Linked DNA regions of Oreochromis niloticus. The protein of the gene in region 1 purifies or fractionates together with the protein of each later gene. This does not show direct contact. Links are inferred from orthologs where the notes say so. Each region holds a gene or a part of one and is shown on either strand. Other genes may lie near its edges. The genes, in order: hdac5 and tbl1x.

What was found.
Region 2: the proteins of hdac5 (region 1) and tbl1x purify together in Homo sapiens (affinity purification with mass spectrometry; 3 studies listed by BioGRID and IntAct, with this or other methods). This does not show direct contact. The link is inferred for Oreochromis niloticus from reciprocal best matches to the Homo sapiens genes HDAC5 and TBL1X.

The regions. Positions count from the first base shown.
Region 1 is NC_031969.2:4,472,854-4,488,884, forward strand, and holds the start of hdac5 (histone deacetylase 5), read left to right. Parts: upstream 1-8,720; 5' UTR 8,721-12,253; coding exon 12,254-12,410; intron 12,411-16,031. UniProt on the Homo sapiens protein: Responsible for the deacetylation of lysine residues on the N-terminal part of the core histones (H2A, H2B, H3 and H4).
Region 2 is NC_031987.2:18,249,236-18,264,796, forward strand, and holds the start of tbl1x (F-box-like/WD repeat-containing protein TBL1X), read right to left. Parts: upstream 7,424-15,561; 5' UTR 7,014-7,423; intron 1-7,013. UniProt on the Homo sapiens protein: F-box-like protein involved in the recruitment of the ubiquitin/19S proteasome complex to nuclear receptor-regulated transcription units. Plays an essential role in transcription activation mediated by nuclear receptors.

The DNA.
Region 1 (16,031 bases):
AACTGTCCTCTAACTGCTTAAAAAGTCTGAACTAAAAATCACAAACATACAGGTCGTATTTCTTAAATATGCTGAAGCTATTCAGTCGGTGGGATTGTTAAGGTGGTAGAAGGAAATGATGATGAATCATTTATTTTCATCATGATTTATGTCTCAGTTTTGTGCTCAGCTCTGCTGTTTTCTTCAGAGGTATTTCATTTTTCAGCTTCCAGAGCTGAAACATGAAGCCGGCTCCTTTAATGGCCACTTGAGGCCGGTTCCAAAAGCGAGTCAGTCCCCGTAGACTTCCATCATAAAGTAGCCAACTTTACAGCATTAGAAACATATTTTTTAGGGTGGTTTTGGCTTCTGTGCTTAATTTCCCTTTTCACACAAATCTGGTTGAAGTTTTAAATGTAAATTTTAAGTCATCAACAGTTGGTGGTGTGGCTGCTTTGACTGACAGGTGTGCAACACAGGCAGCAGTAGGTGGCATCTGCTTGGCCTCTCCTTTCTTTGTTATTAATCTGGACCTCTTTACTTTGGGTGTGGTGTTTGAGGATTTTAATGTATTTCTAATGGATTACACGACTAAAGTATAGATTGCTGTGTGGTAAAGGTTCACAGAGGGTGGAGACTGCACGAGCTGTCATAGTCTAAGAACTGGGGTACACCCTGGTTAGTTCATCATCCTATCAGGTAGGACTGGGCAATATATCGAGTTTTTAAAAAATATCGATATATTTTTATACGAGATATAAGATGTGACAATATCGTTTATATCGATATAGTCTATGTTACGTTATAATTATACTTGTGGAGCCGCAGGTTTGCCTCTCTTTCGTCCACTTTTGTCTCTACGCAACGTTACTCGACCTCGCCTCTCCTTCACTGAACACAACTCCCCCTCCTCCCCCATCGCTTCACCTGCAGGCAACGGCAAGATAGACACAGCAAATCTTCGTTAACGAGTTACCGCGCATCGCCCCGTGCGTGGGGCTGGACAGCGTCAACGTGTTAACAAGCTAACCGCGCTAACGCCATGCAGCCCACAAGGGCTGCACAGCCTAAGATCCTTTCATTTTCTCAAAAGTTGACTGCGTGCCTTATGTATGAATTCTGGTTGTGCTTGATGACCCCGAACCGATTTTATGTGATACACGGCGCTCAGCAATACGTCAATAAATGTTTTAGTACGACTTTGGTAAGCTACGGAGCTGCACCGCTTGATGGATTGTCGGAGCATTACGGCTACCGAGGAGCCTCGCGGAGTAATACGTACTGTGCGTCAACGTAATATTACCGTATTGTGTGTGTATAAGGACCATAAATGGCACCTGTTCAGAGACATGGTTACGAAGCGGATTTCAAACTCCAGGCTGTCAGTCATGCAGTAGAAGTTGGGAACAGAGCAGCTGTGAAATCTGTCTATGTTATTATGCTCAGTGTCTGTTAGTTTACATTTTGACTGCACAATTGTGAGCTCTTTGTTATGCACAAAAACAACATTGTTTTCTTTTATTTATGGAGCATCATTATTTAATAAATACTCATAATTTATTTTTGAGTAGTTTTGTACATCTACGCTGTATGTTAATAAAAGTGCCTGTGTGACATCTGGGACACAGCTTTGACTAAGAACTCTCTTTTTGTTCTTACTTTATGGCTTTAAAAAAAATATCGAGATATATATCGTATATCGCCATCCAGCTAAAAAAATATCGAGATATGAATTTTGGGTCATATCGCCCAGTCCTACTATCAGGGCTAATGCAGAGAGGCAGAAACTATGACCAGTTTAGCATCAGCTTTTAACTTAACAGGCATGTCTTTGGACTGTGGGAGGAACCTGGAAAGAGCCCATGCAGACACAGGGAGAGTGTGAAAAGTGCTGGCAAACAGCTTCAAAGCGCTGTATAAGAACCAGTCCATTTACTATTTACCATTTACCAGTTCAATTAATTCAGTTTTAGTTATATGGTGCCAAATCACAACAACAATAATACAAGAAAACAGAGAAAACCCCAACAATCAAATGACCCCCTGTGATCAAGCACTGTGGTGACTGTGGGAAAGAAAAACTCCCTTTTAGGAAGACAGGATGAAGACATGCTGTGGAAGAGAGGCAGACATTAATAGTAACTAATGATTAAATGCGTGGTTTCAAGTCTAATCTTAAAAGTAGAGAAGGTATCTGTCTCCTGACTCCAAATAAAAACAGGCTTTTAAGAACCTTGTTGTTGTGAGGCGACATTGAAAGCCAGTGCTCCGCTGGGCCACCAATTATTCCAGCTTTATGTGTATTCCCAGCCAGTCTCTAATTCCAAGTACTACCCAGGTCCGACCCCGTCTGAGATCACATGAGCTCAGATGCAGCCTGGTTGTGCTCGAGTTTTTCTTCTTGTTAAAAGGGGAGTTTTTCCTTTTCACTGTCTCCAAGTGCTTGCTTGTTGTTGGGCTTTTCTCTGTAATATTGTAGGGTCTTTACAATATAAAGCACCTTGAGGCGACTGTTGCTGTGACTTGGTGCTATATAAAGGAATTAAATTGAATTTGTGGGCATATGTAGGCACTCACACGTAGGCTTGTTTTTACCTGCATCTGAAAAGCAGTCCAGTGTACTTCGACCATTCAAAGCCATTATAATGTACAAACAGGTTAGTTGACTACATGTGTTAAAAAGGTTTATTTTGAGCCGATTCAGCTGCAGCTACAGGCGAGTAAATGTTGGATGTACGTGACATTATGACAGCGATGAAGAATCCGCCCACGCTGAGATGTCCCCCTCCATCAGTTAAAAGCATTAATCGACTGCTATCAGTGTTTGGGCTGAGAGCCAGCAGTCCTCACACAGCTGCCGCCACGGCTGCTCTGTGTCGGTGTGTGTGTGATGTGTCCAAGAACAAATGAGTGTGTGTGTGGTTTGAGTGACACAAAAAGAATGGAGGAGGTGTAGGGAATGGAAGATAAATGCATTACTTTAAATCACATTACAGCTAAGTAGCCAGGGACTTAGCTGCAACACTTAGACACACACACCTATTACACACTTTATTGGGAACTATTTAGGGTGTCAGTATGTTTTCCATAAATCCTTTTTCAGTACAAAACCAGTAGGTGGAGCCAGAGGATCAAGCAGCATCAGTGAGCCTCGGGTTTTCTCTGTGTTTGAAATAATAAAACAAATGTGCTCATTATTCTCGATCAGAACACAGTTTGACATATAGCCAGTGTGGATGTCATCATATCAGATTGTACTTCATGATTCTTTGTGATGTTATTGTCATATCTAGAGCAGGGATGTGAAACTAGTTTTATATTGTGGGCCACAGACTGCAGGACCAATGAAACAGCCTTTTCTGTCAGTGTAGAGAAACGTAACTGAGCATTTAATCCCTGCAATGTTTTAATATAAGACAAACAAAGTGGGATTTCAACTGCACGTCTCAGTTTCTTTACATGATAAATGTGCAAAAAGACAGAAAATTTATAAAGTTTTGTTAATTCACTGCTTTTTTTTTTTTGCATTTAAAAAAATGTGGACCCACTATAATAAAAGCAGACATTTCTGTAGTAGATAGTGCAAAAAGTCTTGTGTGATTTAATTGTTTTTCTGTGAGTTTGGTGTAGTATGAATGGATGGACTCTTTATCAGCAGGAAAACCTATAGAACTTGTGACAGTTCAGCTAAAAGTTCAAAGTATATGCGATGGTTCATAGTGTCCTAAGCCTTCCAGCGGTCCAGATTGGAGTCTTTGCTGGGCCAATTGTGGCCCCCAGGCCTTATATTTGGCAAAAGTGCATAGAGGTGACGGGAGAATCTGTCATAAAACTGAAGATTTTATTACTACATATATTGCTAGCGTTTGTAAGAATAAGACAGAGTCTGTATAAGTAGCTGGATTATTGGATGTGAGCAAGTGCTATAAAAGGCTGTCAAATAGGGAGATTTCAGAGATTTAACTCAACACTAAAATGTTTAAGCTGGCATCATTGTTTTTAATGAAATATTTTATTGACGTGTGCCAATAGAAACATCTTCACAGGCGTTCTCAGGCTTTTGGACACATCTGTGAAAAGTAGTGAAATAAAGAACTCCAACTATACTGTTGCTCTGACTTGAGCTCTGGGAGACAGAAGAACAGAAGCCAAGAGAGACATTAAGCATGGTAATCTTTGCAGTTAACTGTCGAGCAGGATCAAATCAACCTGCAGTCCCAGTTCGTCTGCTACGCTGTGACTGGGCTGTAGCTGTTTGGTTGAGGTGTCGGTTGTTTTGAGTGTGAATGCTGAAGAAAGGCAATTTTGTCTTTTGCAGAAAGACGTCGAGAAGAAGGTCTGAATCATCCGTCTGTCCTTCTACACATGGCCGACTCAGAGGACCCGCTATAACCCACACACACACGTACACACACACAGTGGAAGGGCAGGGGAAAGAAGTCCAGGTTCAGCCTTCATGAATTCATCACACCCCTCAGGTAAGTCTTCTTCAAACAGCATGATATGTAAATAGTTAACATCATTGGTCCTGAATCCTGGAAGCGTAAAACTGCCCAGTTTGGACTGGTGAATGTTCTTATTGCTAATGTTGGATTCATTTTTTCATACAGTGTCTGTGTTTAATGTGTCAAAGTTCTAAGCTCCCTGATAAATCCATATGAGCAATGCAAACTTTGGCCTTGTTCTTGTGGTTGGGTTACTGTGCAGTGTGATTTTGTTGTTGCGCTTTGAGCTCAGGTCAATTATACTGAGCGCTGGCTCAATAAGGTGCTGAGTGCTGTGTAAACACTGTGAGTACGACTAAAAGGCTCGATGCTTCAGCAGCACTTTCTAGCAGATGTTTGGCTCATCTAAGCTGTCAGTATCAAAAGCAGTCATGTCATCATACTGTAGGTAGCTTTACTCCAGCTGCCTGACAGTGCTAAGTGTGTGTGACTTACTCCTGACTTACTCCAGACAAAGTGTCTGCGCAAAGACCTCTGCAGCTCGCTCTGTGCTTTATCTACCGTGTTTTCTCAAGTCAGGTCAAAATTTAGATTTGGCCAGGTCAGAACTGACAGCCCTGCAAGACTTGAGCTTATTTTATAGAGCTGTGTTGGTTTGAGAGCTTGTGCCATACTGGGCAGCATGTTTGTAGGTACATCTTGAACAGTTACTTTTACTGATTTGTATACTGGCTGTTGCATTAGCATAAGGAGCAAGCTAGATCCAGTTACAGAGTGTTACACTGTGTTTCATCCATCTGCACAACAATATACTGTGTGTGTTAAACATACAAAACAATACTGTGTTTACACCAGCAAAACAGACCTAGGAGGGGTGCTCCCATCCTCGTTTAGTATAACGGTGATAATATGCACATGTCACAGTATAGTGTATAATTACATCATGTTGGTTTTTGCCTTTGTTACACAGATATTGTGATGATTATTATCATCCACACAGATCAGAACACGTCAACCTGATCGTTTTCTACAGGAAATCGTAAAATACTTTTCAGAAAGAACGATTTTGCTCAGTTAGCCTTTTTCTTTCTGAGCTGCACAAACCCTCTGGAGTCAATCGACACCTCGCCCTGCTTATAGAACCTGCTCGGTCAGTGTAAATCATATAATCATCATTCACATTCATTGCATGAATACTAAGCAATGGTAAAGATCACCTAAGATATTAATTAGTTCCATTTGAAGCTATTTTTGCTAACATGCTAATGTTGCTACTTTAATGAACAAGTTTCCTGAAAGTGCATGCTCCTCTGAGTAAAATGAATGTAAATATTTTATTTGGTTGTCATTTAATAAAAGTGAATACATAACTGTTAGGGAACCTTAACAGCTGTGTTAAAACACAGCTTGTAGCTCAGTCTGTGCATTTGGTGGCTAGCATCGGTGTCAGTCTTTCATTACAGTAGCTAGTACAGTACAGTAGCGTGCCTCCACCAGTGTGTGAATGTGAGAGTGAATGAGTAGTGACATTGTAAAGCGCTTTGGGTGCCTTGAAAAGCGCTATATGAAATCCAATCCATTATTACATGAGTTACATGTTACATGATCGTCAGTTACATGTATGTAAATGCATTGTGTTGTGTTGCTACGTAAGACAGCAATAAATAATAATAACAACTTAAGTTTAATGATAATGATAATAACAACAATAGTAATAACTACACTACTACTACTTTCTTGTTCTACTACTGCTGGATATTAATAATTATACTGAGAATAAAAAGGAAAAAAGAAAAGACAAATAAAGCATTAATGAAAAGTTGAATGGATTGAAATATTGATAAAAGAGGGTCGGAAGTGGAACAAATGATGACCCTCGACACTGGTGATGACACAAGATGATCCTCATTGGGATTAATGATGGTGTTTTGGGGATGGGGTGTCATTCTTGGCCAGGTCAGCAGTATTTTGTTCTCTATTCAGTATACTTTATATTAAGTATAAAGTGTGTATAAGTTATTCTTATCTGCTTTTTTGAGACATCTAATGGAACAAAAACACATTTTGCACACACCTGTCATCCTGCCAGAGACTGTATTACTAAAAGTGGCACAATTACATGGTTGACTCGAGCGCTGATGGCAGTTAAAGTGCACGCCGCTTTTTTAAAAAAAAGTAAAGCTTAACAGTTGATGAGTTATGGTGCAGCTGTTGTACCGGGGAAAGTATGGGACTAATCCGTGGACAGATGATTATAAGTTGTATTGTAATAGCATTGTTCTAACGATGCACAAACAACACTAGTGCTATTTGTTAACTCAGAGCTGATATTTGGTTCTTTACCATCTTAGTTTTGCACATTATGAAAGAAATCAAAACTGAATGAGGATCTGATGGTACGGTCACCGGAGCAAGCTGCAAATCCAAAGGCGACCACAGCATTTAAATCATTACATTGTACAAAACATGCTAAATTGAGCATGTGCAGTCAAGTGAGAGTAGTTTGGGGTGAGAGATGATCTTTGAAAGGATGAAAAGTCATTTTCTTGAAATGTGCTTGCTTAATTTGTTTAGCTAGTGGAGTGTAACTTCAGTGTAGGGCCTCAAATCAAAACCTTGATTATTGAACAGTTTACAGTTATTGATTGATTATTTTATACACACATGCTCATTTCATTTTTCATTCATTGCTCATCTCGACTATAAACAAAAATGAAAACTCAGCCTTGACAATGACACCAGAGCATGCAGAAGGATTTATTAATAAGCCCCACGCCCCCGGTACCGGGGGCAAAAGGGAGGAGATCACGTTTAATCGGTTATAACGCCGGTTGAGAAATATAACTCCAGACATGTGTGGTATCCACAGAAACCTCAGAATCTCAGCTACAATGTCATATAAACCATTTCTACAACCACCAAACACACCGCAAACAAGCCGCGATTAAACGAGCAGTTACGTAATGCGCAGAAGTCCGCTAAACACGCAAACGAGAACCAGACAGTCTTCATGTAACCGGTTATAAATAGGCTGGCTAGCTTCCAGGGCTATCACTGCGTAAACACACGAAGTTTGACCACGATCGGACCAAAATTCACTGAATTAGCCGCAAAAGAAGAAAAAAATTAGGCGAGAATAAAATCTACTTCCTTTTTCTGTGTTCCAGTCTCAGTAACTTTGACACAGTAATATCCGCTTTAATATTTACACCTCTGATTAAATGTCCCAAGTGTTGGCTTCATTTTGATACAAAGATTGTAAGGACGGAGTTTGTAATTGCAGAGAAATAATCAATTTAATTGAGGCATTGCATTTTCCAGCAGGAAGCTCAGAAAACCCCTTGGGGCTCAAGAGGTTAATGCATATAATTTGAATGGCAGCAAAAATGCCAGTGTCATGGTGGTACGAGAGGAAAGGTGAGGGGGTCAGCACACGTGATAGAATTCATCCTCTGCACTATAGACTAAAGGTAGTAAATGGTGGTAATTGCACATGTGGAGAACTGACCATCATTGCTATTCCTATGTCAAGCTGCTAGCATGCTGGGAAAGAAAAGCATATATTAATATATTACAAGTCTCTGGCTGTCGTTGCAGACATGTGCTTTAACGAAAGTAATAAGTTTTTGAACACTTGTGAGTCATCCTCGTTTTACATCATCACTGGTAGGCGTATGTTTAAGGGCACTAAATGCTGGGACACATGACTTATGTCAGAAATCTGAGTGGACCAGGTTGGAGTCTTTAAATCGAGTTGCCGACAGTCCTCATGATTTTAAAAAATGCTTGATATTTGCTACTGATGGTGTTAGTCAGGTGAGGGAGACATTTTTCATTCACAGTGAATGTAACGACAGCTCTGACTCCTGCTTTGCTCCATGTGCTGGATCGCATTGGTTAACTTCGTTCGTGTTTGTATATGTGTGAGTAGTATGTACCTGTGCGTCCTTCCCACGGCTTTTTTGACAGCTTTGTCTTGGGACGAGTGATGGGGTGACTGACTGGCTGTAATTTGGTTGTCATGGATACAGATGTAGTAGATACACGCGCACACGAGCACGCACAGACAGCAGTGTGACTCCAGGGGTTGATGCGCCTCAAATAGAAACGCAGAGATGAGTCATCCGCCAAGCTGCTGCAGTACACACAAACACACACACACACACACACACACACACACTCACCTTTAGTAGATGTGTTTGGTATGTTAGACCACTGAGATGTCAGACATGTTGCCTGGACAGTCGCGTCCCTTTCACTTGCTACCATAAACACACGAAAGGCTGATTTTAAGGTAACAGCACAAGTCTTTAATAAATAATCATAGTGTTGGATAACAGAGCAGCAACACAGCAGCCTGTTCGGTGTGCAACAAGACAGGACACTTCAAATTAACTTTCTGTATTTACATTTTCTCCCTTTGCTGTGTATATAGTCTTTACTTGTGAGTCATACTGAGGCAGCCTTAGATCTGCTGGAGGACACAGGGAGCTGTTTACACAGGAGGTGAGGATGATGAGGGAGATGAAGGTGATGAGGAGGAGGTGGGATAGAAGTGATGATAAAATGATTCAAAGAAACATTTCTGGAAAGGAAACAGCAGCGACAGTGGTCAACGCAGAGATGAAAAGCAGACAAATACATGAATTAGACGAGTCCTGAGCTGGTCTGCTGGATTTGTTCGTCTGTTAAATGTATTATCACTGATTACACAGAGCTCGGTTTGTTCTCCTCTTTTGTTTTTCTAATCCTTGCACTCTGCATTTGCCAGCAGCAGAGACACCCCATTATATTTTGTTACAAGGACCAAAACCTATTCTTAATGTGTAGCTTCTGTTATGACTGAATGCTGAATGGAACAAACAAATACTATAAAGAGCAGTTTCAATGAATAATATCCACGCTGACAGCAAAGTGAGCCGTGTAGCTTCTAGTTACAAAGAAGTCTTTGCAGGATTCTCTCTGACATTTTTCTATTGGAAGTGAGGTGTTTGCGCAAAGTGATGTAGAAGACTGTTTCTTGTCCAGTCTTTTTTTTAAAAACCCCATCATGACACAATTTAAATACCTGATATTCCCATAGATAGGCTGACGTCCTTTTTTCTTTCAGACACACAAAACATGAAGAGATTTTCCTTGTTTCATTTGTAATGTGTAATACTAAACAGTGGCTTTAGACTACCTAAAGATACTATCTAAGATGATGTCTTTGATCAGTTGTGTCTATATGTGTAGACATGCTTGAATGGTCCAGTATAATTGAATAGGTCAGTGTTAAATAGTCTAACAAAAAAGCACTTCTCTGAAAACGGTCCAGTCAGGACGGGACTGAAAAATGTCGGAAAGAATAGAAGAAAAATTTTGACAGATCTTCTGAAGCCTGGAGAACGACTGCTCAGGATCAGAATATAAGAAAAAAAAAAGGTCTGGCTCACTGGAAGCAAAATGGGAAGAAATCAGAGGTGACTTAAGACTTATGCACAGTCTTGTAGTTATACTTAATTTAAATTCCATTTTGAAAATGACATCTTTCAACAAAATGTGAAAAACCTGTTGTGAGTTTGTGTCCAAAGCATCTTTGTATTGTGTTTAAGAGATTTTAACGGAAGCCTAACTAGATCTGGGCTGTACTTTCACTACCAGCTTTTAACCACAAGGTGGTGCAAGTGAGGCTGTGTACTCTTTGTTTAACCCAGCAAGTCCTTAAGACCACAGACGTATTGGCAGCCTGGCAAGTGGCAGATGCTCTTAAAGAAATGGTGGTAGTGAATAGGAAAAGTTAAGTAGCCATCAAATAATAACATCTTAATACAACCACTGGTAAAACACTGTTATAGCTAATTCAAACAAGTGTCTTAAAGGCTTCAACTTTTCTTTTCAATAAAAACTTGTTTAAGGGTTAAGTGAATGAAGCCTCACAAAAACAATGATTAACAATATTGTTAATGCAATTTAACAGCAAGTACAGCTTAAAGCTGCAGAACCATTTGCAGCACCAACCTGATGGTGGTACTAAATGGAACAGTTATCAGGATTCCTCCTCTGGGAGATATGAATGTTGGCCAATCCTTTGGCTGAATGTTGACATATTTTATTGGTCAGGTGGAGACTTTGGCCAGCTGGTGGCACTAAATGACCATTCAGCAGATGAGTAGGCTTTATCCTCTTGGCACTGTGGATGCCTGGAGCTGATATCACACTGCAATCTTACACTGACTGTGCCATCCCCCAGTGCCCGCCGCTAGTTAACATAAACACCTGCATGGCCACAATTTGTGCACCCAAAAAAAAGGGGGGTCGTGGACCTAGCAGAGCGAGAAGAGGTCCACAGTGCCCACCCACACTCTTTGATTGACATACAGTATTTGGCAAGCACAGCACAGAAACATGAAAGCACCCACCGCCACCCTCCCATCCCCACCCCAGAGCTGCAGGCTTACTGCTCCCTCCTTCTCTCCTTCTCTCCCCTCTCTCTGTCTATTTTTATCTCTAGCTCCTCCTCTACCCTGGCAGGCTATTTTCAGCACCGTTCCCCCACCCCAATCGCCTGTGTTTGTAAATGCTTCTCTTCTCTTCTCTTCTCTTCTCTTCTCTTCTCTTCTCTTCTCTTCTCTTCTCTTCTCTTCTCGTGTCCTTGCTCCCTCTCCCTTCTATGAAGTAAAATGAGCTGTTGTTGACTTTTCTCTGTATCCATCTAACTTCCTTTCCACCCAGTGATCTACTTTCAGCCTCTCTCTCGGTCACCCTCCTCCCTCTGTCTCCTGTCTCTCTGTCGACGTTCATTCAGTAGCTCAGTGAGCGTTTCTCACACACACACAGTCATCAGTGACTCTCAGTCAGTGAATATTAGCCGTCTGACCAGCAGCTGTTTGTGGTCGCTGTGTGGAGCTCCACTATCCTCTGTCCTCTGTCCTGTGATAAGAGGATAGCGTACCATCTCCTCTCCTGCTGCCCATTTTCTCAGTGAGGACTAAAAACTCGCCATCCCAGCGTTCTTCCATTTCCTTCTCTCTCTGTCATTCTCTCAGTGCTTCGTTCTAATTTTGGAAACATGGAACCTCGGGGAGCGCTCTCCCAAAGCTATTTACGTCCTTGCCTCTCCTCCTCCTTGCTCTCCTCCTCTTCCTTCTCTTCCTCCTCCCTCTCGTCAGCCAGGAGGAGAACAGCGTGAGGATTCTTTGATGCACACAGAGCTGGGGAATTCGGCTGCTCCTCTGTCTGTATTTTTATTGTGTTGACGAGGCTGCAGGAGCTCCTCTCGTCGGTCGCTCCTCGCTCTCACAGCCTGTGGGTGACTGGATTTTCCCTCGCAGCTGAATGGATGAAACAAACTTTCTTTTCCTTCCATCTGCTACACATCCCAACAGCACTGGAGCCAGCACTGTGTTTCTCCGTGGATCAGGACTCCAGGTGATGTAGATACAGTGAAATAAACCAAAAGACTACACAGACACTTTTCAGGTGGTCTCCTTTGGCTGTTGACATTTTGATTGATCTGCAAAGCCCAGCCGAGGGGAGGCTTTCTGTGGGCTGCAGCCGAGACGACGATATTAGAAAGGAGGAGTTTGCTCAAAGTGTCGCCCGCTCGTCATCACAACTCGAGCCGAGCAGTCAGAGACGGCAGAAGCTCCAGGAGTCCGATGGAGACTGGATTACACAAGAAAAGCACAGAGGTGTTCGATTATTTTCTTTTCTTGTAATTCGCGGCCGTTTCCCGCAGAAGTTAGTTTTGAAGTTTTTAGTTTAACTGTATGGGTCTACGGCATGCCTGCGTCTCGGATGAAGAAGTGACTGGTTTAACAAAATAAAGCGCCGGCTCTCGCCTTGGCATGCTGTTGCATCCCACCGTGTCAGGATTGTGCGCCATGTTGCAGACCATCTATGAGACTGAGTCCTGTTTTTCCTCCAGCAACACAGACAGCCACCATCAGCCTCTGGAGCTCCTGAGCGGCAACAGGGGCTCCAGCGCTGCCATGCCCACCGCTGGTGAGTCATCTATGGGAAAGTAGGGGTGGGGGGAGAGGGAAGGTGGGAGGGAGGGGTGGGGTGCTGCGGTGTACTGGAGGTTTGATTAAAACTGATGAATAATTTGACGTTTTCTCTCATAAGGAACGCCTGTGTGGTATTTGTGTTGAAGTTTGTCAGCTGGAACAGCAGCACTCGCAGCTCGCTGAGGAAACGATGGTACCTGAGTACCATAAGTGCTCGGTGTCCACAGTTTGCGTCAAACTGTGCACTCTACAGATACATCATACACATATTTTTAGATTCAACGTGACTTCCAACATCTCGTCTGTATCGTCTTCTCGAGCAAACACATTGAGGATAAATATTGATGCATGTGTTTAGAAATCATAGATTTAATTAGAATAACTGTGTGCAGGTTTCCTGTGCTAGGCATCAGTGCTACAACACAAAAGATAGCCAACCTCACAAAATATCCTGGTTCCATAGTTTATCCCCGCACTACAGTTAGACATTTTCTCACAATTGGAACTTTCAACTCTCTTTTTTTAAAAATCAAAATATGTGTAAAAGTCTCTCTTTTTACATTGAAAGAGTAAGCTCTACATTTTATGTTAAAACAAAAAGAAAAAAGGAATCAGATTTTTAGAAATAAAGTGCAGTTGACGAGCCTGACAGAAGGTCAAAGACAGATGAGATTCAGTCTTCTTTGTAAGAAGAATATTTCACTCTTAAAGCAAAAGAGTAGCTCTCGCTCTTCTTCATGTTTCTAAGAGAAGAAGGGCAGAAAGCCCCGACCACTCTCTCTTCATCTCTTGCAAAGGGTCTGAGTATTTTTGTAGTTTATGCAGATGGTTTCTTTTTAGCTATCTCAGTCTGGACACACTTTCTGTCATTCCGTCTCATTCTGTAGATTTAAAGTTAGCTTTGGGAATCCTTTGGTGATCTTTAGGAAATTGTCAGTGTTTTAATTATTTATTTTTGGCTACTCCTATAATGCCAAACACAAATGTACACTAGTAGGAAACATGGGTGATAAAATGGATTTTCTGAGGTTTAGTTAGAGTAGAACTGGCCAAACAATGGTGCCAAAATGAGGTAAAGCAGTGTTGAAATGTAGCTTGATGACAGCAGGCTGGAACAAAGAGGATGTATATTGACTCTAATCTTTGTTTGGCTGCAGTTACAATGTTGGCTGTGTGAGTGTGTGTGTGTGTGAGTGTGTGTGTGTGTGTGAGTGTGTGTGTGTGTGTGTGTGTGTGTGTGTGTGTGTGTGTGTGTGTGTGTGTGTGTGTTCAGAATTAAAGACTTGCAGAGATTGAAAATGCTGTTAATGAAGTAGCTTAAGATTTGTTAGATTTAGATATGTAGGGGCCCAAAATTCCTTTAAATGAAGTAATGAATTTCCTCGTAGATTGCAAAATAAAAACAACTCCCAGATCAACACACCTGTTTGTTTATATCATTATAACTGGTGAACCATTCACACATCTTAGGCTTCTCAAAGAAGAGAATGTCACGAAAAAGAACTTAACATATGAACTTTGATCTCACTTGTACCCTGAAATATATCGAGTCTTCTTTTGTTTGAATTTTGATTATAGCGTATAATCAAAGCCAGCCTCTCTGATTATTAGAATATTTCGAGAGATATATTACAACACACAAATGGCCCAAATGTTCAAAAATATGTTTGTCTGTACACCCATGTCTTTACTCCGTTACTCCTTTACTGTGGATTACTGCGTCAGTGCATTGTAGTTGTGGCATTGCAAAGCTGTTATTGAGGTTTCTTTGATAGTGGCCTTTGGCTTTTCTGGATTTTCGAGTTTGGGAGTTTGTCATTTTCATCTAGACAGTACTCCAGAGATTCTCTGTAAGGTTCAGGTCAGGTGAGTTCGTTGGCCAGTTTCATTTTGCACTGTGGACAAGTGCTAATACCTAGAAAAAGAAACATCTCCATAAAGCTCGTCTGCAGATTAAAGCATGAAGTGATATGGCATCACAGAGACTGTGGAGCCTTCACACTGCACTTAAAACACTGGGATATTGGAATATCTGGGATATCTTCCTTTACGTTCTTGAGCCTTGATTTCTAAATGCAATGCAACATTTACTTTCATCTGAAAAGACTTTGGGCCACTGATGAACAGGTAAGACATTTCTCAAGTCTTTGGTTCAGTAGTGGGTTAATCTTAGGAAAGTGACAGATGTAGCGTCTTTTCCTGAAGACGTCTGTGCACAGTGGTTCTCGATGCACTGGCAACAGCCTCAGTCCATCCTAAGTTTAGAATCAACTTTTCTTGACCATCGTCTCAAGACTGCAGTAATTCAGGCTCCCTGTGGATCTTTTCCTTTCACACTTTTCCCTTCCAGTAAACTTTCCATACTTTCACACAGCACTCTGTGAATCCTGTGTATCCAGCCTTTTCAGCAATGACCTAATGTGGCTTTCTCTCATTGTTGCAAGCATCAGTGACTGTTATCTGAACAACTGTCAAGTCGGCAGTTTTCCCTTGATTGTGGTTGTTTGTATTCTACTAGAGCAAGAGAACTGTCGTGTATCTCTTGCTCTAGTAGGCTGGAACTTTATGTAACCTCAAAGTAGAAGTTCACCTTTATAAATTGTGGAAAATAATGAACTTTGTATGACATTCTATACCTAAGTAAGAGCTTGCTGTCACCTATTGCTGCAAGTGGATGTTACAGGCTCCTGTTGTATAGATAACCCTGTAATGTATTTACCACCCGTCAGCAGTATCCTTTTCTCCTATTGGTAGTTGATCCAATCCCTTGTCTCAAAGTTGAAAGTTTAAATTAGTCCCTGCCCACTATGTGTCATTAAAGGTTATTTTGGCTTTGTAAGTAGCTTAAATTCATTGACGTTCACCACACTATAATCACTGCTAGTCTGTGTGGACGCATCTGTACAGTCATGTTTATATCCACCACTGTCTGTTTTGGTCTCCACCGCCAGTTGTAGGAAATGTGCTCTGCTTTGTTCATCCGATACTTTCTCAACTTGTCCATCTGCTTAACTGTAAGCATTCAATGAGAGCTTTTTGTACTGTAAACTGTTGTCTGATGCTAAAATGACCAAGCAAGATCACAACCGTGAGACTCAACTGAAAGCTATAGAGTGTAAAAACACAATGACGAAATATACAGTGTTAAACGCTGAGGAGGCCTGCTTCATGGGGGTGATAATTCTTTGAGGTTTCGTTACTGTTACTGGTTCCCTTTACATTGTACGTGACCACTGAACCCTGAACTTGAAATATAAAAACATAATTTAGTGCATCTTTAAAGCTACGTATATTCTGTGGCACAATTAATTGTACCAGATGTTCTCAAGTACTTTCAACCCAGTGTAACACAACAGACAAGATCCACTGTGGATGACCTACAGTCTGCCATCCCATAATGCTTAACCCACCCATCAGTCTCTATAGCAACACCACACATGTGACTCCTCTCCCTCTCTCTAAGCTTCTAATTTGTCTAAAGTACACACAGCCATTATACTATTTTTACCTCACTCTCCCTCTTCCTCTGCCTTTTCTTTCTCTTGCTCTGTCTCTCTGTCTCATGGCTTTTTTTAGAGTGTTTTGCAGGGCTGACGTCATAGTGCCTATTTTCTTT
Region 2 (15,561 bases), on another chromosome or scaffold:
TGTGGGGGTGGGTGGCGGATAAGTACATTGTGTGGAGGAGATTCTGGGACACAAAGCTTTTTTCTTTTTTTTTTCCCTTCATGCTGAAGGCAGCACACAAACAACATAAAAATCCACCTTTCCCATTGCTCAGTTAGAACGTCACAAATTTATGTGGTTTTACATCTAGGCCAGTGCATACTAAGCGAAGCGGAGAGTGAATTATCTGCACGTCTGATAATAAACGCCTAAATGAATAATGAATAGAGCATTTGGAAGTGTTTTGGCTGTGTTGACATTACGCAAATGCGGCCATTGTCTACACCACTGACAGGAACTGAAAGTATTACATCTCTATGGGAGTGTACAGTATGTCTTAACAAGCTTTTGCATAAACACTATTTCACTACCCAAAAAAAAAGTAACCATTATAGTGTTTGTGTATTTATTCAATAGTAATGAAGAATCCTTAACAAGTTCGTAGTCATTTCAGAGGCCTCTGCAAGGCATTTCTTTTTCTTCATCAAAATGAGGATAGCACAAATGAGCTGTAAACACCGAGACACACCAGTGTGGGCAATACAAGTGTTGCTATGGTGACCAAAGGCTCTTGCTTCTCTGTCAACAGCTGCTCATGCCACCCTAAATACCCCCACTCTCCTTGAGCTTTCCTTCCATCTGACATCAGGGTCAAGCAAACAAGGCAGGCAAGCGTGCTGAAAAACTGATCTTCATTCTAAGCCATCTCACGGCTGCTTCTTTAGCCAGCATTTACACCGTGTAACACTAACACCAACACACCAAAGATTTCCCTTTGTCTGTGTCCTCCACACAGCATCTTCCATGCTGAACAACTGACTGCACACGAGCAATAAAAGTTTGGGACATTTTAGGGTTTCCTCTTGCAACCGCATGAGTATATGGGTCATGAAAATACACACAATTATAGACAATCACAGAATACTACTACCACATTTTACAGAAGTACATTCATTTTTGCTTCTTGGCCAAAACTATGAAAATGTGTTATTGCGATATCCTGTTCCAATTTTAAGGATAAATGAAGAAAACAAAAAACAAAACACTGTTATTGCTGTGTAATAAAAACTGATCTTAAATACTGCTGCATATACATCCAGCTGCTGCATGATGCACTTAGCCTCACCTCAGCTCTATTCTCTATTTTTTTGAATGCCTTTATTAAAGCTTTCACTCTGTGTGCATTTAAATGTCAGAGTTGCATGCATTAACTTTCTGCCTTCTACCATCTGTAGTTTTTGCTTCTTTGTTTCTCTACATGTCCTCTCTCATTGTGTCTTTCTGCAGGTATCTCTGGACTCACACGCTCCTGGTCTTCAGATACAAGCCTTCTGAGCTCAGCGTTTGTTGTTTCCCTGTGGTCTTCTTTTCTATCTTTGCTTTCACTTCTAGTGTCAAGCTCGATGCTCGCCTTCTCTTTTGAAAGGAGCCTTTTTTCCCCCTCCATCCCCGCTGTTACCACATGCTTGCTCAAAGAGAATCATTGGGTTTCTCTCTATGATATTGCAATGCCATAAAAATGGCACTGGTGTGATGCTTGAGCCATACTGCCTGCCTTAATCTCTGCATACAGCTACCTCACTGAACAGCTGTTGTCTACAAAGACAGTGCTGCTGTTGCAGCGCCACTATTGCCAGCCCACAGAGAGAGCAAGAGAGAGGCTACCAAAAAATTACTACCTTTCACCTTAATGCAGGCTTTCCACCATTGTGGTACACAGCTGACAGCCCACCTGGCACAAGCACCTACATACCACCTCCACAAATAAAATGGAAATCACTTATTATGAGGTGGATGTTGGCTAGTTGAATGAACTAACCTACATGAGGCTGTCAACAAGTAGTCTAAATTAGATTTTATTGATTATATAATCCAACTGTAAAATCATAAAATACATACAAATAAAAATTATTCTTTGGAAAAACAAACACTGTTGTGCCATTTGTCTTATCTTGCAAGCTACACAGAATATAATGCAGAGTTTCTACCAGTAAAGTTGTTATACCCAGCAGCTGGGAACAGGACAGTTAATGTAGAAATATTTACCCACAACGTTGCACAGTGGCAGAGTGGGAACAGCAGAGCTGCTTCAGACTTCAGACACACAGCTGCCGGTGCAAGGAAATACAGGGAGCGAACAATTAAGCCTACCACAATAAGGTAAACAATGTGTTAAGTCACAACATTTCCCTGATTATTTTCATTTAGTTTTTCAAACTTCTTTATAGCTCTTCTAACTACTTCAGGCTAAATTCAGTCAACAGGATCCTTACATTTTGCACTACACCAGCAGACAACCTAAAAGCATGGACAGAAGTTACAGCTTGTCACTTTCAGTAACTGAAAATGAAATGTAAGTCCAGGGTTTGACAAGAGTGAATAATTCAGTAACAACCGTGTGGTTTTTGATGGCAGGGAGTTCACAGCTGAGCTCAAGTGTGATTTGCACTCAAATCAATCTAAAAATAAACAACTTTAAATAAAATAACTATGTAAGACATGATGTCTCATTGTAGTGGTATGCCTGCTTGCAGACATGCTGCAGATACGTCTAATATGCAATAACGGTTTGAACCTGAGTGGATTTTGGTAAAGGAATAAAGAAATGTCTTTTTTGGCCAATTCTAACAGCCCTAACATCATCCAGTCCTTCTGAGAACTGTGGAATTTCAGTGTTACTGACATAACCCAAGCATGCATACATACACTGCAGGGTTTCCACCAGCATACTGCAAACGCAGAAGCCCAAGCAACTGCAAAGTTTGAATTACAGCCTTCCAAGTGACTGGAATTATAAAGAGATTTTAAAAAACAAACAAACAAAAAACATATAGATGTTGACTTTTGAAATAAATAAAATATAATTCAGAAACGCCTGTGAATCCATCATAACCAGAGGATTCTCTCACATGTCAAGAGGTAAATTGCAATATTCAATTAATATTTAAGCCCAGTCTCCAAAAGGTGCACAAGTCTTTGTTAATTGATGTAGCAAGGAGTGGCTAAGATGATGATGACATACTTTGCATGCATAACTACACTGATTGCTACACAAAAGGTAAGATAAGCTTACGTGGCTGACTCGGATGAAGATTAAGACTTAAGCAAAAACACAATATGACCTTCAGTGAAGAACTTTCCCACTCTGGCAAGAATGTGCTTGCACAACTTCCCGAAAAGTCATCCACCAACTATTTCTTCATTCATCCTTCTAAGACGTTACAAAAAAACAAGAAAATAAAATCAAGCAAGTCACACTTAAGAAATGTGATCATCTGCCTACACTTGAAAAGCACTAAACATTAATACTTAAATGTTTAACAGATGCCTAAAGGGATGTGTACTTGCTCTACTTGTATTCTAAGTAGGGACAGAGGGAAGGCACCATAGGCCGTAGCTCACACAATGATAAACAGCACCACCCTAACACCAAATGATATCCAAATAAATAACTACAGCCTTCAACTAGTCAGTACTTGTATGGCAGTTATTTTAGAGTAACCACCAGTGCGCCAGTTGGCTGGTCACCACTGAACACTGCATGTCTCTTTTGAAGGGAGAGAATGGCCCACCTTCCCCCATGGTCTATCATAAATAAATACTGCTACAGAAATATTTGGACAGCCCAGTGAAGAGATTTGCAGCACCACAAGGCTGACACACAGGACTTCCTTGCCCTACTTATGAAGAGGGAATACATTTCTGTTTTTAATACAGTCTCATTGCACTGTGGATCTGATGTTTTCTTATAGTAGTTAGATATAGAAAGTAAAAAAAATAAATAAAGACAAGCCATTATATAATTGAACTATTTCATAGACTGCAGGCCATGAGGTGTTTTTTTCCTTTTAAACACAAGACCAGGTATTGCATGGAAGCTAAAGAGAACACCTTTCATCTCAAATCCTGTCACGAAGCAGGCTAACAATGTTATTTGGCTATGCCCCCTGAGGATTCAGTACAAATGGTAATTGTGTACATTTATTGAAACGGCAAATAAAAAGACAGTTTAATTCCTTCTTTTCTTAGTGGATTTAAGTGTATAAAGTATGAGTAATGATACAGAGTATTAAATCTAATGCTGAGCTAAACATTAGAGATTAACAGGCAAAACATTGACACTAAATCCTGGTGTTCTTTTACCAGGTGGCACTGAAGCTGTTTTTGTAACTACTGTAATTAGAGTTCAACACAACTTGTACAACAAAGGACGCATTTTCACCGCACAGTCCGCAGTCTAGATTAGGTTATGGAGAAATTATTTTACATAGCGTGAATGTTCTTATTAAATTTGGCTGAAGTAGCTTTTTAATTCAGTCTCAATAAACTCACGGACAATCTCAGCAACAGCTTGCAAGTTTATTTACTTGAAGTCCAGCATTTGGGGTGTTCTGAATTCACTTTGTTGCTATTGCTCATCTCTCTTCCTGCGCTGACTCAGTGACCCCAATTCTAAAGCAGTAAATCACATTAAACTGCAGCAAGACTTGAATCTCCTACATGTTCGCTGTTGTTGCAATGTTGCCTACCCCTTACTTTATATTGAGTCATCACAGTTGTCTTCTGCATTTCCACCAACTACTGGACTGAAATGAAGCAGCTGGTTGCAAAAACTGTTTAAGACACTCGTCACACCAGATCTTTAGAAGAAAATACACCACAGGAAAGTCCATTTAAACAGCTCAATCTAAAAGAATATCCTGCATGAATGCTGTGCTGTATTATTTCCCCGGTGAAAAACTACACACCGGTCATACATGAGAACTTTTCTTTTTCCCTTACTCTTTGTAAGTGACCACCCCATTACATAAACAATTAATGATAATCTGGCATTACTATCCAGTGTGCACACACACCATATGTATGGTAAATTTGCAAGGTAAACTACTGAGCACATAAAATAAACTATTCACAGTACAGGCTGGAAATGAGATTATAAGTGTTCGTTGTAGACGTGCCCCTCCTTATAAATTAGGTCATCAACGAGGATTGTGAAGCTGCTAAACTGTAGCCTCAAAAAAAGTCTAGTCTTGTCAAAAAAAGAAAGACGACGAAAAAAAAAAAAAAAGACTTCTTCATGTGAACTGTGCCTCGAATTTCACAGTACCTTGGAAAAACCATAGAAATGGAAACTGCTAGAAAAGGAAGGAAAGCATTTTAAAGGACCTGGGTGTTCAGCAAATTCAAATTCATAAAAAAATGTCTCCACGTACAAGTAGACAGTCCTGCTGCTATAAATAAAAAAAGAAAATCTGCACAAACTCCTTGGTTTGAAGGAAAAAAAAAAAATCACTGGATGACACTAATACCAACTGTGAAGTATGGTGGAGGTAGTATTATGGATTGGGACTGTATTGTTACTTCAGAGGCCACGATTAAGGCCCAACTGTGACATTTACTCTTACTGCTAGCAGTTCAAAAAGTGATAAACAAAACTGAGTTAAGCTTATTGGTTTAGCCTTCCATAACAGTTCTAGTTTCTCATGTGGCCCCTTGGGAAAATTAATTGGCCACCCCCGCCTTACAGTGCTCGAAGACACAATGAAACTGACACAGTAATAAGAAAATTTACAAGAGAATGGCATGATTGAGATCAATGACCTCAAGCTTAGGTGAGGTTGGGTGATGACACAAGATAATCACCCAAAGCCAAAAAAACAAAAACAAAAAAAAAACGGAAGAAAATTCCTGTTGTAGGGTGGCTGTGTTGGAGTCCTGCCCTAAAGGGAACTGACATGCTGTGGCATGGCTGTTCAGCAAAAAAAAATCCCAGAAAATATGTAACTCGTACTGTAATCAAATAACATTCAAATACAGCCACTAGGTCAACAAGAAATGGGAGCATCACATTGACATTACTTATGTGGGCCACTGATGTAGAATCAGGTTACAAGAGAATTTAAATAGCAGGGGTTTTAGCCAGTCCTGGCATCTGAATCTTTTTTATATCTTGCTTTAATAGCAACAATAACATTTTTTTTCTCTTCTGGGTGAACCGGTACAAAAGCATGACTGGTCCACATGTAGTTTAGGCATAGAGCCTATCCTCTTAATTAAAAGAATTCAATGTCTATCCTTGTTTTTAATTATTTGGATATATTCAACTGGGAGAAGGCCAAAACTTGGAATAACCTGGATTAAGATACACTTTGATTCTCTTAAGACAGACAAGACTGTTGAAGCTGTATCCCATCATTCGAGGCACTATTTAGAGTCTTAAAAGGCAGGTCAAACCACATTTCTCAATCTCTCATTTCTCTCCAAATGTAGTCTGTGCTTGTTGAGTGTTATGTAGACATGCATTATCACAATTTATATTCCTTCCTACACAGCAGAGTTTCTCTAAAAGCGTCTGCCTGTGCTGTGCTGCATGGTAGAAGGTCATAAGCTTAACAGTAACAATTTAAAACTGGAGTTATACAAGAGCATGAACTGGCCCTTGAAACTGGTGGCACTGTCTAGTACAGTTGAATTTCTCTCCCCTCCCCCACACATGCGCTTCCTAAGTCTGCATGGCAATATAAATATGTATCATTCATGCTTTAGCTCAAACAAAATGATCTAAAGTGCAGCTTAATGTGCTTTGACTTCTGTAGCACATTTCCAAAGTAGACAAACTAATCAGTCACCACAATGGGACAACCTTGAACCTCTAAAACTTAAGTCGATTTACTAAAAGTAGTCCACAGGTCGGCTACATAAGGTTAAACATGGGTATGTTTCTTTAAGAAAAACAACAATGTAGCAGAAAAGTAGGCTGTTTGAAAAATCATGAACAAAAGAGGCTAAATTAAAAGGCGCAAACAGGAATTTCAACACACGTGTGGAGTCAATGGGTGACTAAGCTTTGTGCCGGCAAGTATCCTCCTAATCAACGCCGTAATCACCAATTTCTCAAAGTCATTATCCTCTTCGCTTTTAACCCACACAAACACACAAGCAGCCTGAATGCAGTGCTGCCCAAAGCAGTGCCACTCGACCTTTCCTTAGCTTACCTTTTATTGTGAGTGAACTCGTGGTGTCCGCCGCCACCTCTTCCTTCTTCTTCCACAAGGAGAACCTCCAACTTCAGCGAGCTAGCTACGACTTTCCTCCCATTTTGATTACCGTCACATTTCAAGTTCCGACCGCGGGTGTGTGTGTGTGTGTGTGTGTGTGTGTGTGACTCACTGCCGGCTAAATTTGCTGTGCTAACAAAGCGTGTTCACCCAGACACGCACACGCGCGCGCGCACGCACACACACACGCACAACTGGCGGTAAAGTTGGAATAAACCCGAGTTTCTGTGGCTGAGGCTGCAGGCTACTCTCTGTAGAGTTTCACCCTCACCGTTCACTGAGAACAGGAGCAGAAAGAGACAGCAGCGAGCGCTAAACGGCAGAGAGAGAGAGACGTACACACAGAATAGGAGAGAGAGCGCGCGCAGGGGGGGGCGGGGGGTTGAAGGCTAAACTGTCTTTAATAAACCTGACTAATATAAACACGATCCATTCTGGGGTTAATAATCCAGGGACTGTTTTATCTCATTTGTATCTGATTGGCCTAATTAGCCAAATCAGGAGCCAAAGTGTCAATTTGTTAACACCTTATGGAAAATATAAAGATACACGTGCTGTCTGGAACCTATGTGTGCCATTAACGCGTAACTACTGTACGCTTTGTATATTTGCACACGTGTGGATTCAGCAGACCGTCTTAAATTTGACCCCCCACCCCTCCCCAAATATAGATTAGGCGGTATAATTAATACCATTAAAACATGGCTCTCGAGCTTAAGTGCACTATGATATCTTGTTTCGGTTTAAGGACAGTGCGCTGAGACTACAGTGTAGCATGTTGTTGCCTATCTGGCCTCTCGGAGGCTCTTCCCATCCCCCCACACACCGCTATTTTTCGCCTGCCTGGTCACACAGCGGTTGATTAATTCTCCTTTCGCCTTGCTCAGTCATTCAGATTTGGAAAGTAAATAACAAGTTGACATCAGTGTGACACATTCCTTTGGTTACCGTATGTATAGCAATATTTGCGCATCACATATTCCATACAAACGCTACAACTGCTCCAGCCTCAGCCGAAATGGTGGTGTATTACGTGCTTTTAGTTGGTTGGCCTGCAAGCGTACACGTGCACTTTGATATACTGAGAGATCGATAGGTTAGAGAGAGAGGTCTGATGGCCTCATGATGCAGTTTAGTGCAAAATAACCTTTTACATATACAACAGTGATAAAAAAATAAATAAATAAAAATAAAATAAAAATAAAAATAAGACTGGCGGTGTACAAAAGTTTGGTGCAAATGACACTAATAAATATTATGTACACTATATCTCTAAGAAACAGCAACAAGAAGGTCTGATATTGAAATGCGTGTGGGGTCTTGGCAGGTGTGTTCACCTGTCACGAAGATGGGAGCTGTTGTACAGTTTCACAGAGAACAGTAGGAATGATATTCTGAAGTGTCCTTTATGGCAGCGAGGTTGAATAAGTCTGAGAGAGAATAAGCTCTGCTGCCTCTGTAGTATAGAATGGAGCGGGTGCAGTGGGGGGTCCACGATGGAGAGCAGTTTGCTGGCATCTCTGGCACTAATGCAAGCCCTCAGCAGATAACAGCAAAGTAAATGATCATACTATCACCGATCTCCATTATCACACACGCCAACATGTTAAAGGATCTTAGCTTCCTCGCAAAGTAGATTCTGCATTCATATCATGTACTTTGTTCTTTGTGCAGGAAAAAAAGCTCAATCCCCAGTAATGCTTAATTTCTACCAATGTCCCAACTTAAACAGATTAATTCAGTGAACATATTATTACATATTCTATGTCTGAAGAAGCAGCTACTTTTGGCCATTCCATTATTCACAAGGATTCACCACAGCAGGTACCTCCACATGTTTTATTTGGAAGTTTTTACACTGACCCTCCCTCCAAAGGACTTTGTATCTGCTCCCAGAATCAAACTGGTGATCACTGCACTGTGGAACCACTTACATATACAATGTCTAAAAAAAGCTGTAATTACTGTGACAGATGTATGACTAAAACTAACATCCCAGCCTGGGACAATCAATCAGTCCACAGAAGACAAGGCTATGTGTGGCATCAGCTATGCCTTTAGTGCCGTAAACCTTTCTGTGTGATACCAACACAACTTACACAATACATGAGATAGCATTTATGGGCATGTCAGTTATCCATTTAATCAGGGTCATGGCTGAGGCTGCTTATTGTCTACAGACAATGTGTGCTACACATGAAAAGATATATCCACAAATTTTTTACTTCTATACTGAAGAGACCAAAACCAACAACTAGTCTGTCTCAGTGATTCTATCCTGTTTGCGCCTCAAGCCCTTTTCATTCCAGCTGTGAATACATGCTCTAAATGCAAATCCGTACAGTTTGTATGTCTTTACATGTTTTGGTTATTATTTGATTACAAAGTTATTTTTGGACCTTAAAAACATTGCGATCTTGTGAGTATTTGTGGCCCCTGGAGGATCTATGTGGGATTGACCTCAAATAAACTACACAACCCATGTTTATTGTAATGAAGGAACATGTCAGCCACTGTAATGGTTTGGCTCATTGATTTCTTATTGATTGACTAACAGTAGAGGTCTGGAGGCTTAGAATGCACAGACAGCACCAGTGGTACAAAATCATTAATGGTTTTGATGTTTTTTCTATGGAATGTGGTGACAGCGAGACGCATATACAGAGTTCCGCCAGCTCTCCATTTCCTGCATGTAATATTTAACCTTTTGTCAAATGTCAGTGCATCTTATGGTTTTGACTACCACAAGAGATTGTTGTCATGCTCTTCTTGTTTTTTCCTGTGTACTCTTTTAGAACATAATTATCACAAGAAACAGAGACGGTTACGTTTATTAATGCTTACTAGCTGTTACACTTTAAAAAAAAGACAGTGATAACAAACACACACAGTTCCGGAGGACGTGTAAATGTCCGTCTGATATGCATCTTGTGGGACTATGCTGTACCAAGAGTTCCGTCTGATTAGCTGATTAGTTATTTAGAGCAATACATATCTGATACAAGCTCTGCCAAATAAAAAAGTCAGGGCCTTTAATACCAGTAAGGTTTTAGTAAGATTTCAGTGAGGAAGGGAGGGACGTGATTTCCAGAAAGTGAAAAATTTGAAATTTGCCCCATTCATACACTCTCCTTGGGTATATTGCATAGCAAAGGTCCCTGAGATGATGTGGTTACTTTAAGTACTGATATTATTGCTCTCTGAAAAGCCCTGCAAGGGGCACTGAAAATTATTTTCTGTGATGTGGTACGCTGTGGGAGTTGCAGTTTCACTATGGGTGATTTGCAAGGTACAAAAGTCTCACACTGACTGAACAATATTTTATTATAGAAGTGAAGTGGAAGACTGGAACTTACATGTTTAAATTCAGCATTTCTCCTTTAAAGTGGTTACGCACAATGCAATTTCAAGTGTTTATCTCACCCTATAAGGATGCTTTGAATTTGTGTCTCATAAGCAGTTCTGCAGTGTTTGCACTTAGTAATTCTTGAAGTCATGGCTTTTGTCAGATTGAAAGTCAGATATACAAAATGAGTAAATAACGGTTAAACAGTTGTAGGCCTGCGTTCGGGGAAGCCTTATTGCCTGCCAAATGAATCATGAAACTCTACAAGCAAATCAATTCAACTTTATAACATACAAGTTGACATCGAGGTGAATCACCTCAGACAACTTTCCGAAAACAGCACTTGTGACTGGGCTTTAGTATTTGACAGTACAGTGTTTCACCGTAATGTAGTGTAGCTCTATGGAGTTTGAAAGATGCACACTAAGCAGTAAACTAAAAGCTTTGTTTTGTAGATAACTTTTCAGTTAAACATTGCACTACAGACTCTGTTGTACTGCATCTGACCCCACCACCTGGATTTGCCATCATTCAAGAATAAGACCCTCATCTTATTCTTGCATTCCTTCACTTAATACATCTACTCCACCTCGACCCTATGGAACATTCCTCTTTTTTTCCCCCACAAACAACTATCCCTTGAGATTTTGTGCCGATCCTTAAACCAGCATCGTCACACTGCTCCAAACTGCCTGAAGCTACAGTCTGATGAAGCTAGAAGGGCAAATTTCTCTGTAAATTGTAGAAAAATTCGGATGAATTTCTGTGCATATTGTAGCATGAAGGGATACAATGCCCCCATATTTGTTTTTTTGCAGCTTACTTATATAACCAAATCCTCCCTTACCCTCTTTAATTGTTTAGTAGCCTATCTCTTCCAACTTATGTGATTTCATTGTTTATTTGTTATATAAAAGCACTATTAAAAATATAAGACTCCTGTCATAAAAACAGTTCATTCTATTAAATCTTTAAACCACTGGAGCTGCTTTTAACAAGCACATCTTAGTACTTACAACTATGTTGCCTTGTGTACGTGTTCTCCTCTGTACAAATGGTCAAACACGCTTCTCAGTAGCTTCACTGCCTTTTGCCCCTTGCACCTCTTTTACATGGTTTATGGTAGGAGCGTTTCCTGCCATAGAGCTGGGGCTGACCTCCTAACAAAGAACAGGTTCAATCTGCCTCCCCTCCCCCAACGCAGGAAGCTGATGAGGGTCACATGACCTTTCTAGACAGCACTGAGGAGCAATGGTAATATGTAAGGGTGGGGGAAGGGAGCAGCTAGTCACACCAGTCTTGTGTTGTTATTAGGCTGGAGAAGTGTGGGGAAAGCCTAGTCGGTTGCAGGGGAATATCCAGTCGAGTATCTATTTCTCATCGTGCTCTGGTGTCTATTTACATACTGGATTTAGTTCCCTAAACCCTGCTGCTTTATTCACACTATAAAAGGAACACGAGCATTGGACCCAGTCTGGAAGAACAAGCTCCCTTATTTATGATTTTTATGTCTATATGTTGATGAATAGACAAACGTACAAGCTTGGGGAATTCAATAGTAGCAAAACAAAAGAAAACAAACAACAACAAAAAACCTTGTGTATGTGAATACACTGTAATACACCTCCTCCTCCTCCTCCACTATCTCCCTCCCCTCCCCCAACCATCCACACCAGCTAGAGAGAAGGCTTTTTGTGGTGCACTGTTATGTCATAACCTACAGACCTATTTTTCAGACAAAGCAAAACAGACTGCGGGAACAAACATCTCTATTTGCAGCTGAAACACTTTGGTTTCACTTAAGAAAAACAGATGTAACAGTTGACAGAGCGGAGGAGCTCCGATCAGCCATTCCGTTTGAGAGCTGCTCCAAACACGCTGCTTAAATATGCCACTTACTCACTCAGCCGTAATAAATTTCACAAGAAAAACTGACTGTTTAAAAAAGAGAAATATTTGTGTTACTTTGGGAAGCCACATTCCTACACTCCTCAAAAATGAATTCGGAGGGGGGGGCAGAGAAGGCGGGAAAGCAGACAGATATCAGAGATTCATGGATAGAGGACAAAGGTCAAGGGTTGCTGACCTGCAACCAACAGACTTGCCTTGCCTTTCCTCCCCCACTAGCACGATAGCAGTCAATGGCTTTACAACGTTTTGTTCTTACAGTGGCATTTAAGTCTTTTTAAAAGAAATTCCCCCTTAAGCGCCTCAGACCATAATGGTTATGTTGTACCTCAGATTTAATCTAGTTTCACATTTTAGACATGCTAAAGTCTAAATTGTAATAAAACCCATATATATATATATATGTATATATATTACATTACATAAAAATTATACAGTCACACACACACAAGACACAACTACAGTCTTAAGTCTGAGACTTAGAATTAAGAGAACCATTTGTTCTCTTAACTGCCATTGCAGCTATTTGTGCGTTCTATGTTTACATGATATATCAGCTTCTTTAAGGCCACTGATGAGATGACCTGGCACTATGAACACAGTATGCTTAAGGTATAAATATTCTTGTAAATATGTCCCCAGTATACACAGTTTGATATTAAAACACAGCTTTATAATTTATAGCAAATTTATATAGCGGGGGGACACTGGCTATTGATCATGGACCCTTTGGGGTCCTGAGACCTCCATTTGAGAACCACTGAGCTGGACTACTTTTTTGTGTTTGTTATGTTAACCAACTAAAAATGTCAATACCTAAAATATATTGTTACGTTATTTGATTAACCATGCTTTTTCTTGTTTTATTTATCCCCCTCCTGCTTTTTATCATTACTATTTAAGTGGACACCACGGTAGAAAGCCCAACATATATCTGATCTCTTGCCAGGAGGTTCTCAGATGAGCTGTGTCTATCTATCCACTGTATTGTTAGCTTAGAAGCTTGTGGATGGGGATGTCTGCTGTGTAGTGTTTTCCTGGTTTCAGCCTCTTGCTTTGTCATGGCAACATAATGGCGTGTAATGAGCTACCACTCGCTTAGACACCCAATACAGCATTGTGACTTGTCATGCTACATAATTACTCTTCTGACCCGCGGATTTCAGAGATGATGGCTGGATATGCCTGTCGCAGTTGTCTCTGCAGTTGCTGTCGCCTCTTGTGATGATCTGCGCGAGACGAAGAGCAATTTAGAGAGTGATTGAATTGTATTTCAGACAGGAAAGGGTTCCACACGTCACGATAAAAGTCATTCATGTGAAGCTGATATGCAAAATCATAACTGAATGCATCCCTAGCACCTCTCTACCAAATTAGGTTATAAAACTTTGATAAATCCTGTAGCATTTTGCGATAGTTGGGTACAAAAAAAGGAGAAGCATTTAAACGTTTTTGCGTGTGTGCATACATGCATGTGTGACACAGACACAGAAAGATTACATTGAGTTTTGAAAATGTGTCCTATTTTTCATCATATCTGATAATTGTTTGCTTCAGACAAGAGAACAAAATCCCCCCTGATAAATTCTCCATTGTTGGATATTAAGGCTGGATCATCTCCTGGAAAATATTGTGAGAAAAAGAGAGAGAGGTTGGGCGGGGGAGTGGAGGAGAGAGAGAGGTCTCAAAGGCCTGTCTAGACCTCAAAACTTGCCTGTGGTAACATTGCCATCTAGTGGTACAAAAAAAAACCGTCCCACAAATCACAGATATTGAGACGTCCCTGTTTGGTTAACATGGGTTAAACACACAGGTTTCCTGACTGTGTCCTCCTTATGTCCTCTTAGTCTATTTATTGTATCCAGTCTGAAAATAAACACCACCCTATTCGGTGCGGTTATTATCATCCAACCTGCTAACAGCCGCAGAGGGATGTTCAGCTGTCAGTCAACCATCACTGTCTAAACTGAGACCAAAATGTAACTTCAGCTCTGTGTGGGTGGTTTATATGTGAATAACAGTTTTTGCTGGACTATCACCCCCGAGTGATTGCACAATGCTGCATTGTTTTGGGATGTGGCGAAAGAAGGAAAATATATCATGTGGACTTGTGTTCAGAAGTCCTGCACGCCAAGTAGGTTTTTCCAACCTCATATACAAGACAAATATTTTCACTGGGAATGTTAGAAAGTCTTGTGAACACACCAATGAATAGACTTGATATTATGAACAGACAAAAGGGTGGCTGTAAGGCCAATGGGTGTATTTGTTTTTTATCAATGAGACGGGCTATTTTTATTACTTTAAAAACACAACCATTCACTCGTGATTCATCAGAAAGAATGTCTTTGTGCATGTGTATCATGGGGAGATACTTGGGGCCAGAGACAATGCGTAGATTTCACGTCCAAATTATGAATTAATATTCGCCCCTTTTTTTTAATCTGCAAGAAGAAAACATGACATGACCTCTTTTGCATGTCATATCAGTATTTGGTGAAGAAGGAATGAAATAATTCACATTCCTTTAATGCTGGGTAACCAGCTGCAGTTATCACAAGTAATATGACAGATCCTGAATTAATATACAGTGTGATAGTGATATTGTGCTGTGCTAACATCTTATTTGGCTTGTTACAAGAAAGGAGAAAGGTGAATGAATATCCAAGTAGATTGTTAAGAGGTGTTTTTCTCTCCTCTGCTGCTTCTAGATTTATGATTTCTTTGCTTGACTTTGTAATGAAAGATTTTTTTTAATCAAAGGCTAGGTGAGTTTTGCAGATAATAGCTCTTGCACTGATGTCATTGTTGTAGCTTGCTCTTACAGATAGCCAGTGTCTTTTTGATGAAATGTGGCAGCTGGTTTCCCTGGAGACTTGCTATCAGTTAGAAATTTGATTTATATTCATTTAAAGCAGATTAATCAGAAATCATATTAACTGGGAAACAAATGCAGACTCAGTATCAGCTAATATTACATAATCAAACTCCTCTATTATTCTGTCTATTATGTTTCATATGCTCATTTATTCCGTGTGCCCTTTTTAACATACATCGCAATACATTGAGCGTTCCCCTGATTAACAATGCTTTTAGATGATCAAGGACAATTTACTGTTTAATCACAAGCACCCAGGCAACACTGATTCAAATGCATGCCGACATCTACAGCATTACTCCACTTCCATGTTCAAATGCTCCCTTAAGCTTAACTAATCTCCATCTCTTTTG